Ovis aries: one gene and its partner. The protein of the gene in region 2 binds, or shares a complex with, the protein of the main gene of each other region. Links are inferred from orthologs where the notes say so. Each region holds a gene or a part of one and is shown on either strand. Other genes may lie near its edges. The genes, in order: NPTN and ATP2B1.

What was found.
Region 1: the proteins of ATP2B1 (region 2) and NPTN are in contact, whole or in part, in a cryo-EM structure (PDB 6A69), measured with the Homo sapiens proteins. The link is inferred for Ovis aries from reciprocal best matches to the Homo sapiens genes ATP2B1 and NPTN. Residues at the interface, in NP_001353449.1 of Homo sapiens: Phe954, Asp955, Ile956, Asp957, Glu996, Arg997, Asn998, Val999, Glu1039, Gln1040, Leu1042, Trp1043, Ile1045, Phe1046, Met1049, Gly1050, Leu1052, Leu1053, Gln1056; in NP_036560.1 of Homo sapiens: Arg245, Ser246, Asn248, Arg332, Arg334, Pro339, Pro342, Phe343, Gly345, Ile346, Glu349, Ile350, Ile352, Leu353, Ile356, Ile357, Tyr360.

The regions. Positions count from the first base shown.
Region 1 is NC_056060.1:20,255,189-20,259,557, reverse strand, and holds the start of NPTN (neuroplastin), read left to right. Parts: upstream 1-1,259; 5' UTR 1,260-1,432; coding exon 1,433-1,523; intron 1,524-4,369. UniProt on the Homo sapiens protein: Probable homophilic and heterophilic cell adhesion molecule involved in long term potentiation at hippocampal excitatory synapses through activation of p38MAPK. May also regulate neurite outgrowth by activating the FGFR1 signaling pathway.
Region 2 is NC_056056.1:126,009,822-126,013,631, forward strand, and holds part of ATP2B1 (plasma membrane calcium-transporting ATPase 1), read right to left. Parts: intron 3,533-3,810; coding exon 3,494-3,532; intron 2,768-3,493; coding exon 2,606-2,767; intron 1,037-2,605; coding exon 822-1,036; intron 1-821. UniProt on the Homo sapiens protein: Catalyzes the hydrolysis of ATP coupled with the transport of calcium from the cytoplasm to the extracellular space thereby maintaining intracellular calcium homeostasis.

The DNA of each region.
Region 1 (4,369 bases), on a different chromosome or scaffold from region 2:
CAATACGCCATAGTTGTAGCTTGCTAGAAAGCTCAGGCTGGAACCACCAGGTGTCTGGTTCACACTGAAAGCTTGAGACCACTTTGGCTTGAGTGAAGGTTATGGTGAATGCTCCTTCTTCCAGATTTTTCAAGTTTTCACTTCAAATTGAGTCAGGTCACCAGGACTGCTTACTTGGCCCCTCTCAGTTTCATTCCACAGACACTCCCCCGGATGTCTGCTCTGAGTCAGGGATGAGCTAAGACCCAGAAACTCCTTTAGCAACCAAGGACTGATGATGCTCAGGTTGTACCAAAAATATCCTTAGAAAGGGCATTCCCCAAACTTCCATCCAAACAGTAGTGACACTGCCAGAGCACCCAGCTGGTTCCTTTCCAATGGGTCGTTTTGCTGTGCAGTCATTTGCCCTCTTCCTCGCTCTTCTAATAAGCTGGGTTGTGAACTTCGTGATAGTAAGGACCACTTTTTCACGTAGGTTTCACGGCACACAGTAAGTACTCAGTAAATGTTTGCTGCACAAAAATACTTCTGAAGATATTTCGTATAGTTAATACATGTTGACTTCCTTGTAGAATTTAGTGCCCAAACTGCCTAACGAGCAATTAGTCTAGTTGATTTTCAGGCCTGAGATTCTAGGTAGTTAAAATAAGGCCAAAATGGGGGCGGGGGAATAGAAGGGCGAAGAAAAGGAGGACATTTCACGCAGAGGGAGATGAAGAAGCAGTAAAGCACAAGGTAATACCAGGCACGCGGAGTGCACCACTTAGCCTAGAAGGTTAATACAGGGGGTTAAAGTGGGAGGTTGAAGCCAGATGCGAGGAATAGGTCTAAGGTTAAAGTCCAGAAGGAAGTCCAGGAGGAAGAAATAATAGGAGTTTGATAGGGAACAATAAGAGTAAGGCCGGTGGTGCATTAAATTTTGCAGCCAAGACCTCCAACTAATGAAAGGCAGGATGGGCGGAGGAAATATATTCTCAAAGCTTCCTCTTATTTATGGGAGCTCCGACTTCGCAGAGGAATCAGCAGAACATAGAACCGTCGGTTCCCCAAGGCCAAGAAAGCCGGAGGAGCCCCGCCTCGAACCGTCACGTGGCCAGAAGCGCCCTTGGCACGTGACCCACCTCCCGCTAGGCCAATCAGCCTCTGCAGGGGCGGGGACGCGGAATCCGAGGGGCGGGGGATCGATTGAGCCTGCCTCCTCTCGCGAGCCTTGATGCTGTCGCTCCTCAGCCGCCCACGGCCCGGAGCGAAGGTCTCGCGAGGCTTGGGCGCTGCGGCGGTAGGAGGAGGACGGGGAAGGACGGAGCCCTGCCACGGCTGCCTCCCTCGCTCTCTCCCTCGCGCACTCGCCCGCCCCCTCCCTCCCTCCCCTCCCTTCCCCGGCCCCGGCTCCGGCCCCGGCCCATTCGCTGTTCCGTCTTCTGCAGGGAGGATGTCGGGCTCGTCGCTTCCCAGTGCCCTGGCCCTCTCACTGTTGCTGGTTTCTGGCTCCCTCCTCCCAGGGCCAGGCGCCGCTCAGAACGGTAAGCAGGGCGCCGGGGGCCGGCCGGGCGGGGGCTGAGGGACGGTGGCGGCCGGAGAGGGCATTTCGGGGCCGGAGGAGGTGGCGGAGTCCGGGGAAGGGGGCTGGTCGAAGTCTGAGGTGCTGCGGGCCCGACAGGACCAAATGCCGGTCGCGAGTTCGAAGAGGCGCGCGGGTGTGAGAACCAGAGGCGCCTGTCCGAGAGCTGGGGGCGTCCGATGAGAGCTTGAGGTGTTGCTAATTTAGAGGCTGCTCATCTTGGGGCTCGTCGCTCCGAGTCGGGGAGGGGTCCCCGAAGAAGCCGACCTGAGGAGCTGGAGTAGCGGGGGCGGATGAGGAAGGGGTGCAGTGTTTAAAGAAGGCTACACAAGACCGACATTTGTGTTTAAGGTGACAGAGAGTGGTATCAGGCTCCAGAGATGAACGGGGGTCCTGGGCGCTGGAGTCGTCCAAGGTTCTTCTGGGGCCCTGTAAGACTGGTGACATCCTTAAAAAATAATGAGACGTTGGGGGAAGGGAGTCCTGAAGAATACTGAGCAGAGTACTAGAGCCTTAAGGAGGGGGTAAGGAATCAGGGAGCCTTGGCTGTGGAGGTGGCGGGAAGGTGGGTGGAAAGCCGAGGTAGTGGGTTGACTGCAATAGGGGATCTGGAAAGAGGAGCAGCAGAAGCTGTAAACGAAGTGGGGGAAGAGGGCTGGGTTTGCTAAGGAGGGTGGAGTGTTGGGCATTCTAGGGTAGTGGTTGGGAGAGCAAAAAGGAGTTTCTAAATAAGGAGAGGAAAAACGAGCAGAGGATGGGGAGAAAGGGTTGAAACTGAGGTAGGGGGAATTATTTGTTAGAGAAATAAGGATGCCTGGCTATAGAAATGGAAGTAGGGGAAGACAGAAAATAAGGGAAGGGAGTAAAATGCAGGAAGCCGGGGGTGTAATGTTAGTTTGCAGTGTGGAGGATATATTAGGGAAGGGAGGAGCTGAGTTTTGGCAAGTGCTGTATGATATTGGTTGGGCCTTTCACACAGCTGAAACTGCAGTGGTGGGATTGAGGGCCGGCACTGGAGAGAGGGAGATGGAGGGAAGTGTGTTTTTAAGGTCGAAAAGTTTCAAAACAGAAGAGACATTATTTCTGAGGAACATAAAAGTAGTTCCTGGGATGTGTTCAGGGTACAGTGGAAAGGAGATGATTGAACTGAAGATAATTGAACTGGGTTTTGAACTGAAATCCCTTAGAGAAGATGGATACATGGTGGGAAGCATGGTGATGGGGGATCTAGACAAAAAAGATTCTGATTGTTAAAGATATGTGTTAAAATTCAGCTGCTGAATCAATCTTTTAGAGATGAGATTAGAAGTATTGTGAACCAGTTTCTGCTCTTGTGGAGACAGCCTTTAAGAAATTTCAAAAATATTTTTTCTAGGAAAAAAATTGTGAGGTTGAACTCATTCATGACTTTACTGGAAATTCTGTAAAAAACTGTAAAAAATTCTGAAAAACTGTAAATTCTTTTTGCTAATTCTTTGGTGTTTCTTTGTTGTTATGCTAGAATAGTTTAAAATTACTCTTGTTGGAATAGCTGAAATTAAAATGGCTTTCACTAAAAAATAAAATCAGTGATAAAGCTAATGGAGTTAAGCATTCTAAGGAGAATGCGTACTTAAAATGCTGAAGATTACACTGAAAATATATCAGTCAAGGTCGAAAAAGCATCAGTTAAATGTAAGTGTTTGTTGTACCAAATCATACAAATAAAATCTTATGTATGCTTCATGGCTTTGAATGATCACTGCAGGGGTCAGGAAGGAAACATTCTTCTATTTCTAGCATTGAATATGTGAAGCATATTGGGTATTTTACACTTCAAAGCATGAGGCCACTGTGGAAGGCAAGGTAGAGTTAGTCTGATTTGTCTCATCAGTTTTTAGTCTGTGTTACCAATAATTTCAGCTATTCAGTTTGTGGGAAAAGCAAGGTTTCATTAGGCACAATAGGCGAGAGATTTTGATCTTAACATGTTTAATCTCTGCGCTGGCACACAGCTTCTTAGAAAATTTATAATACAGTGAAATTGTAGTTTCTTAGCAACTAAAGCAAGGCTTTTGCATAGGCCTATGAAGACTCATCTGGCTATTCTCAGTGATATGTGTTCTAAATACAGCATAGTGCAGCCTTTTCCTTGAAATGAGCTTGAATTCAGTCACGTGACTCGTGAAGTGAAGCTGAGCTTGTAGTTGACCCAAATGAATGTAAATTTAATTCAAGAAAAAAAGGCTGTTTTTTGAGTTTGAGTCCATATAGGTAAGGATGCCTTTTTATAGCATGTCTGTAAGATTAAAATTTTCTATTGGTAATAGCTCTTCAGTAGTCTGACCTCATGTCTTGGGGTTTGTATTTTCTTATAGTGTTTCAGAAGTGGATACTGTGTTCTAGATGAACTTGAAAAGTTGGATTATCTATTTAAAATGATGACTTTAAAAAAGAAACCTCCCCAAACCTTGAAGTATTTCTGGTTTAAGTATGTGGTAGTTTAGATTGAGTGTAGATGCTTTTCAAAAGGTCTGTTGCATCATTCCTAAAGTGAAGAATTTGAATTAGATGACCCTTAAGGTCTCCTCTAGCTGTGATCCATGCCAGAGAGATTCAGGGCTTTTCATTCAGATAGGATTTGTTTCCCATCCAGATATAGACTTGTAGGATCATAGTTTCAAGTAAAATGCTTATTTAAGGTGTCATTTTAAAGGAAGAAGCCTGACCTAAAAAAGAAACTTCCTGGTAAGACTTTGAAAGCTTTAGACTGAAACTAAAATTGAATTTAGTTTAAACCAGGCAGTATTATATGATGGTCAAGAGCAC
Region 2 (3,810 bases):
TCTTCAAACAGAATATTCCTTTAAGTAAAACAGCAGTCAGCAAAAACATCCAAGCTCATTTTTTCAGCATTCTACTTTGAGAACAGAAGGACTGTATTACTGTACACGGAGTGGTCGGAGACAGTAACATGTGAAGAGAGCTGAGTAAAGTTAGAGAGCTGATGATTCAAAGAAAGGAGCACACAGGTCCAAAAGTGAGAACAGGGCTGGAGTTTTTGAGAAACAGCAGGAAGGCTGGTGAGGCTGGACCAGAGTGGGAGAAAGATGTGGGAGATGAACAGGAGAAGAAAGAGAGATTGGGCAGACCAGGCAGGCCGTGCAGGCCACGGCGAGGGACCCTGGATCTCATTCTGATGAGAAGCCACTGGAGGGTTTTTACACAAGAAACAAAAACGATCTGAATTATTTTTTAGAAACATGAATCTGCCTCCCATGTGAAGGCAGGACCGTGGGGTCATGAGGGTCCAACAAGGAGGCCTGAGATTGTTGGAGGCAGGTCAACCGCTCTGCTCTTGTCCCACAGGCAAATGACAAACACGCTTACTTCAATTTTACAGATGGGAAACAGAAGGGGACTGGACATCTTAACTATCGTATGCGGAAACGTAAGCTAGAACTTTCCCAGTGGAGTTCTGCTTAGCTCTGTGTCAAGGCTGCCCTTTCAGGCATGTATAGGCCTCGGTGCAGAGATCTTCAACTGGGGAGAGGAGGAGGGGACCAACAACAGAATTTCTAAAGGAAGCAGTGCAAATTTAGGGAAGTCTCCAACTTTCAGAACCCAAAAGGAAAAGGGCAGTCGTGCATAAGTCTTTTCCGCTTACCTTGACTGAATAAGCTAGTGAGATAGTGACTGCAAGGGGCAGACCTTCTGGTACTGCCACCACCAAAACCGTAACTCCAATAATGAAGAACTTTACAAAATACTGTATGTAAATCGGTGTGCACTCAGCAAGCCACGGTCTCTTCTGAACCCAGAAGGTATCAATCACAAAATATAAGACAAGAATGATAACTGTGATGGCAGACATCAACAAACCTTTCAGCACACAAAAAGAAGGAAAATGCAATCATTAAATATTCCAGACACGACTCACTGTCAGTTACATATTAGCCACTGGAAGAATCAGAACTCCTTTGGTGATATTTAATTTCTCTGAGAAACTGTTACCTACTCTTTTGCACCTAACTCATCCCTTGACATTGTTAGATTTAAGTTCTGCTTCTGACTAGGAGAACTGGAAAAAAGTGTTTATGATTCTTTTCTAGACTTAACTGCATCTTCAGTCTTTTGCTAAAGCTGAGACAAAATAACAAGCAATGACAAGGAAATACCAAAAGTGTAGCATAAGCTGCTTAATGACAAAAGAGAAATTGGTAAGGATCTGATCAATGGGGAGACCTAGAATTAAATATTCAACTCTATGTTTTTTAATGAAAAACACAAATTACTGAAATTAATTTTTTCATCTATCCTTACTGATTTATTAACTAAGAAAACCAAGAGCTAATCACATATTACAAATCATTTACCTTTCCATTTTGTGGGGTGTTTAATCTCCTTATAAATGAATATTGCAAAATAAGGCATGTCCACATATCTGGAACTAATAATCCAATCTGATGTTTATTAAAACACCATCACCACCTTAAAGCCATCTATTAAAACACCATCACCACCTTAAAGCCATCCACTTCTGCATGATTCAGTATTAACATTTGGCTAAATATTACAGAAAGCAAATATCTCCTAGATAATAAGCTTTCTGAGGACACAGGTAAAATCTTAACTTTTTCTGAGATAATCCCAGGAAGTAACAGAATGATGCCATGGAAGTGGCTCGAATTGTTGTTCAGTCGCTAAGTTATGTCTCTTTTGTGACTCCACAGACTACAGCCCAACAGGCTTCTCTGTCCATGGGATTTCCCAGGCAAGAATACTGGAGTAGGTTGCCATTTCCTTCTCCAGGGGATCTTCACGACCAAGGGATCGAACCCGAGTCTCCTGCACTGCAGGTGAATTCTTCACTATGTTTTATTTTCCCCTGAAGAGTAGTTCTATTTAACAGGTGTTTTCTAGTGATGACTCTTAATTTATAACTTCAATCTCACCAGGGCGATGCTGTAAGTATTCCACTCAATTTAAGTAAACTGCAATTTTTAGAAAAACACATTACCTAATTTTTTTTTCATAGTCAATAAAAAGATGAGAAGATGTGTGGTGAAGTTTCTTTTTATTAAAATATAGCTCGGTAATTTGTATAGAGTAAGCCCTCTCTCTATTTTGCCCAGAAATTCAGATACAAGCTCATGGGCTTGTGAATTGGGTAGATTAGGCACTAATCCTAACCTGACCATTTATTTATTAGCAAGTTGACAGAGGACACTCCCTCTACACAAAATGATGATAACAGTTCCCAAGTTTCAAAATATTATGAGACTCTCTAATAACTCAAAAGGTACACTGTAGATAAAACTTAAAATATTATTAACTCCCCTTCCACTCACAAAGCAATGATTTCCAGTCTTAAGTACGTCAAAAGATATTTTTAAATAGCAAGTCAGCGTATTTTAAAACAAAACATCTTATTTTCTTATAATATCATACCTGCTTTGCCAATCTGAACAGCTAGTTTCGTCAGTTTCCCCTGTAAAACGGATTTTTCCTTTTTTGGCAAATTTGCTTTCTTTTTGTCTTTCTCATCACCATCTCCACCTTCTTCACTCTTCAAAGGCTGCATTTCCATGGCTGCGCCATCCTGGGCTTTTGCTATGTTGAAGTGCACACATAATGTTAACATTTTCAAGCAATTTGGTGTGTGTGTTGGGGGGGGGAATCAATTTCTTATAGAAACACAAAGATTTAAACATTTACCTTAGTGTGTATGTCTGTGCCTACCCAGAGAAAATAAGGCAATAGTGACACTAGGTTTTGAAACTTTGTACCAGATTTGAGAATGCTGTGGTAGGAAATAGAGATGAGGCATAAGAAGAAATACAGGGTCCTGAAAGAGCTAAACACCCAATCATTTCTCCTCCTGTGTGCTGTGTCGTTCCAAACACCATGAATTCCTCCCAATAAGTTATAACCATAACGTAGAACATCATGTGAGACCATACAAACGAGAAATGTACATATGCTTACAGACTTAAATAGATGCCAAAAAATCCACATTACATATTTTGTTACTTATGCCATTTCTGCCAGCAATCACATAGTAACCAATGATAAAATGCTTGAAATGTCTAAGTTTAAAGTTACCTACATCTGGAGCTTTCTAAATTTACTACCACATGCCATAATTAAAATCTTATATCAAAAATGTTAAGGCAACATGAGTCAGGCACTGACCAGAGAGACATACACCCAAGTAATACAGGTTGTTAATTTTCTCTGCTACAAGAATCCTACTTTTGGATGAATACAGTACACAAGAGAAATAGTTTTGGCTATAGTAAGCATAAGCTAAGTGTACTTTTAACCTCCTGAATTTACCTTTGTTGCGATTCTCAATAGCTCCATCTTGTTTCTTATCTGTAGGAACAAAACGGGAATTAAAGCTTTCCAAAAGAAATGAATACAGCCATGCTAAATTATGCAAAGGTAGTTCACATTTCTATAACAGAAATGTTACACAACGGGGTGTGTGTGTGTACAGATTAGAAAGCATTTGGCTTGTCATGACCTGCTGGCTCAATCTCTCCCTAGGTCTTAACCATGGGGGAACATTCCAAAATAATTTGGGGCATTACATTTGGGTTGACTTCTCCATAAAATTTTACTCTTTTATGCTGCAATATCGCCAAAGGTTT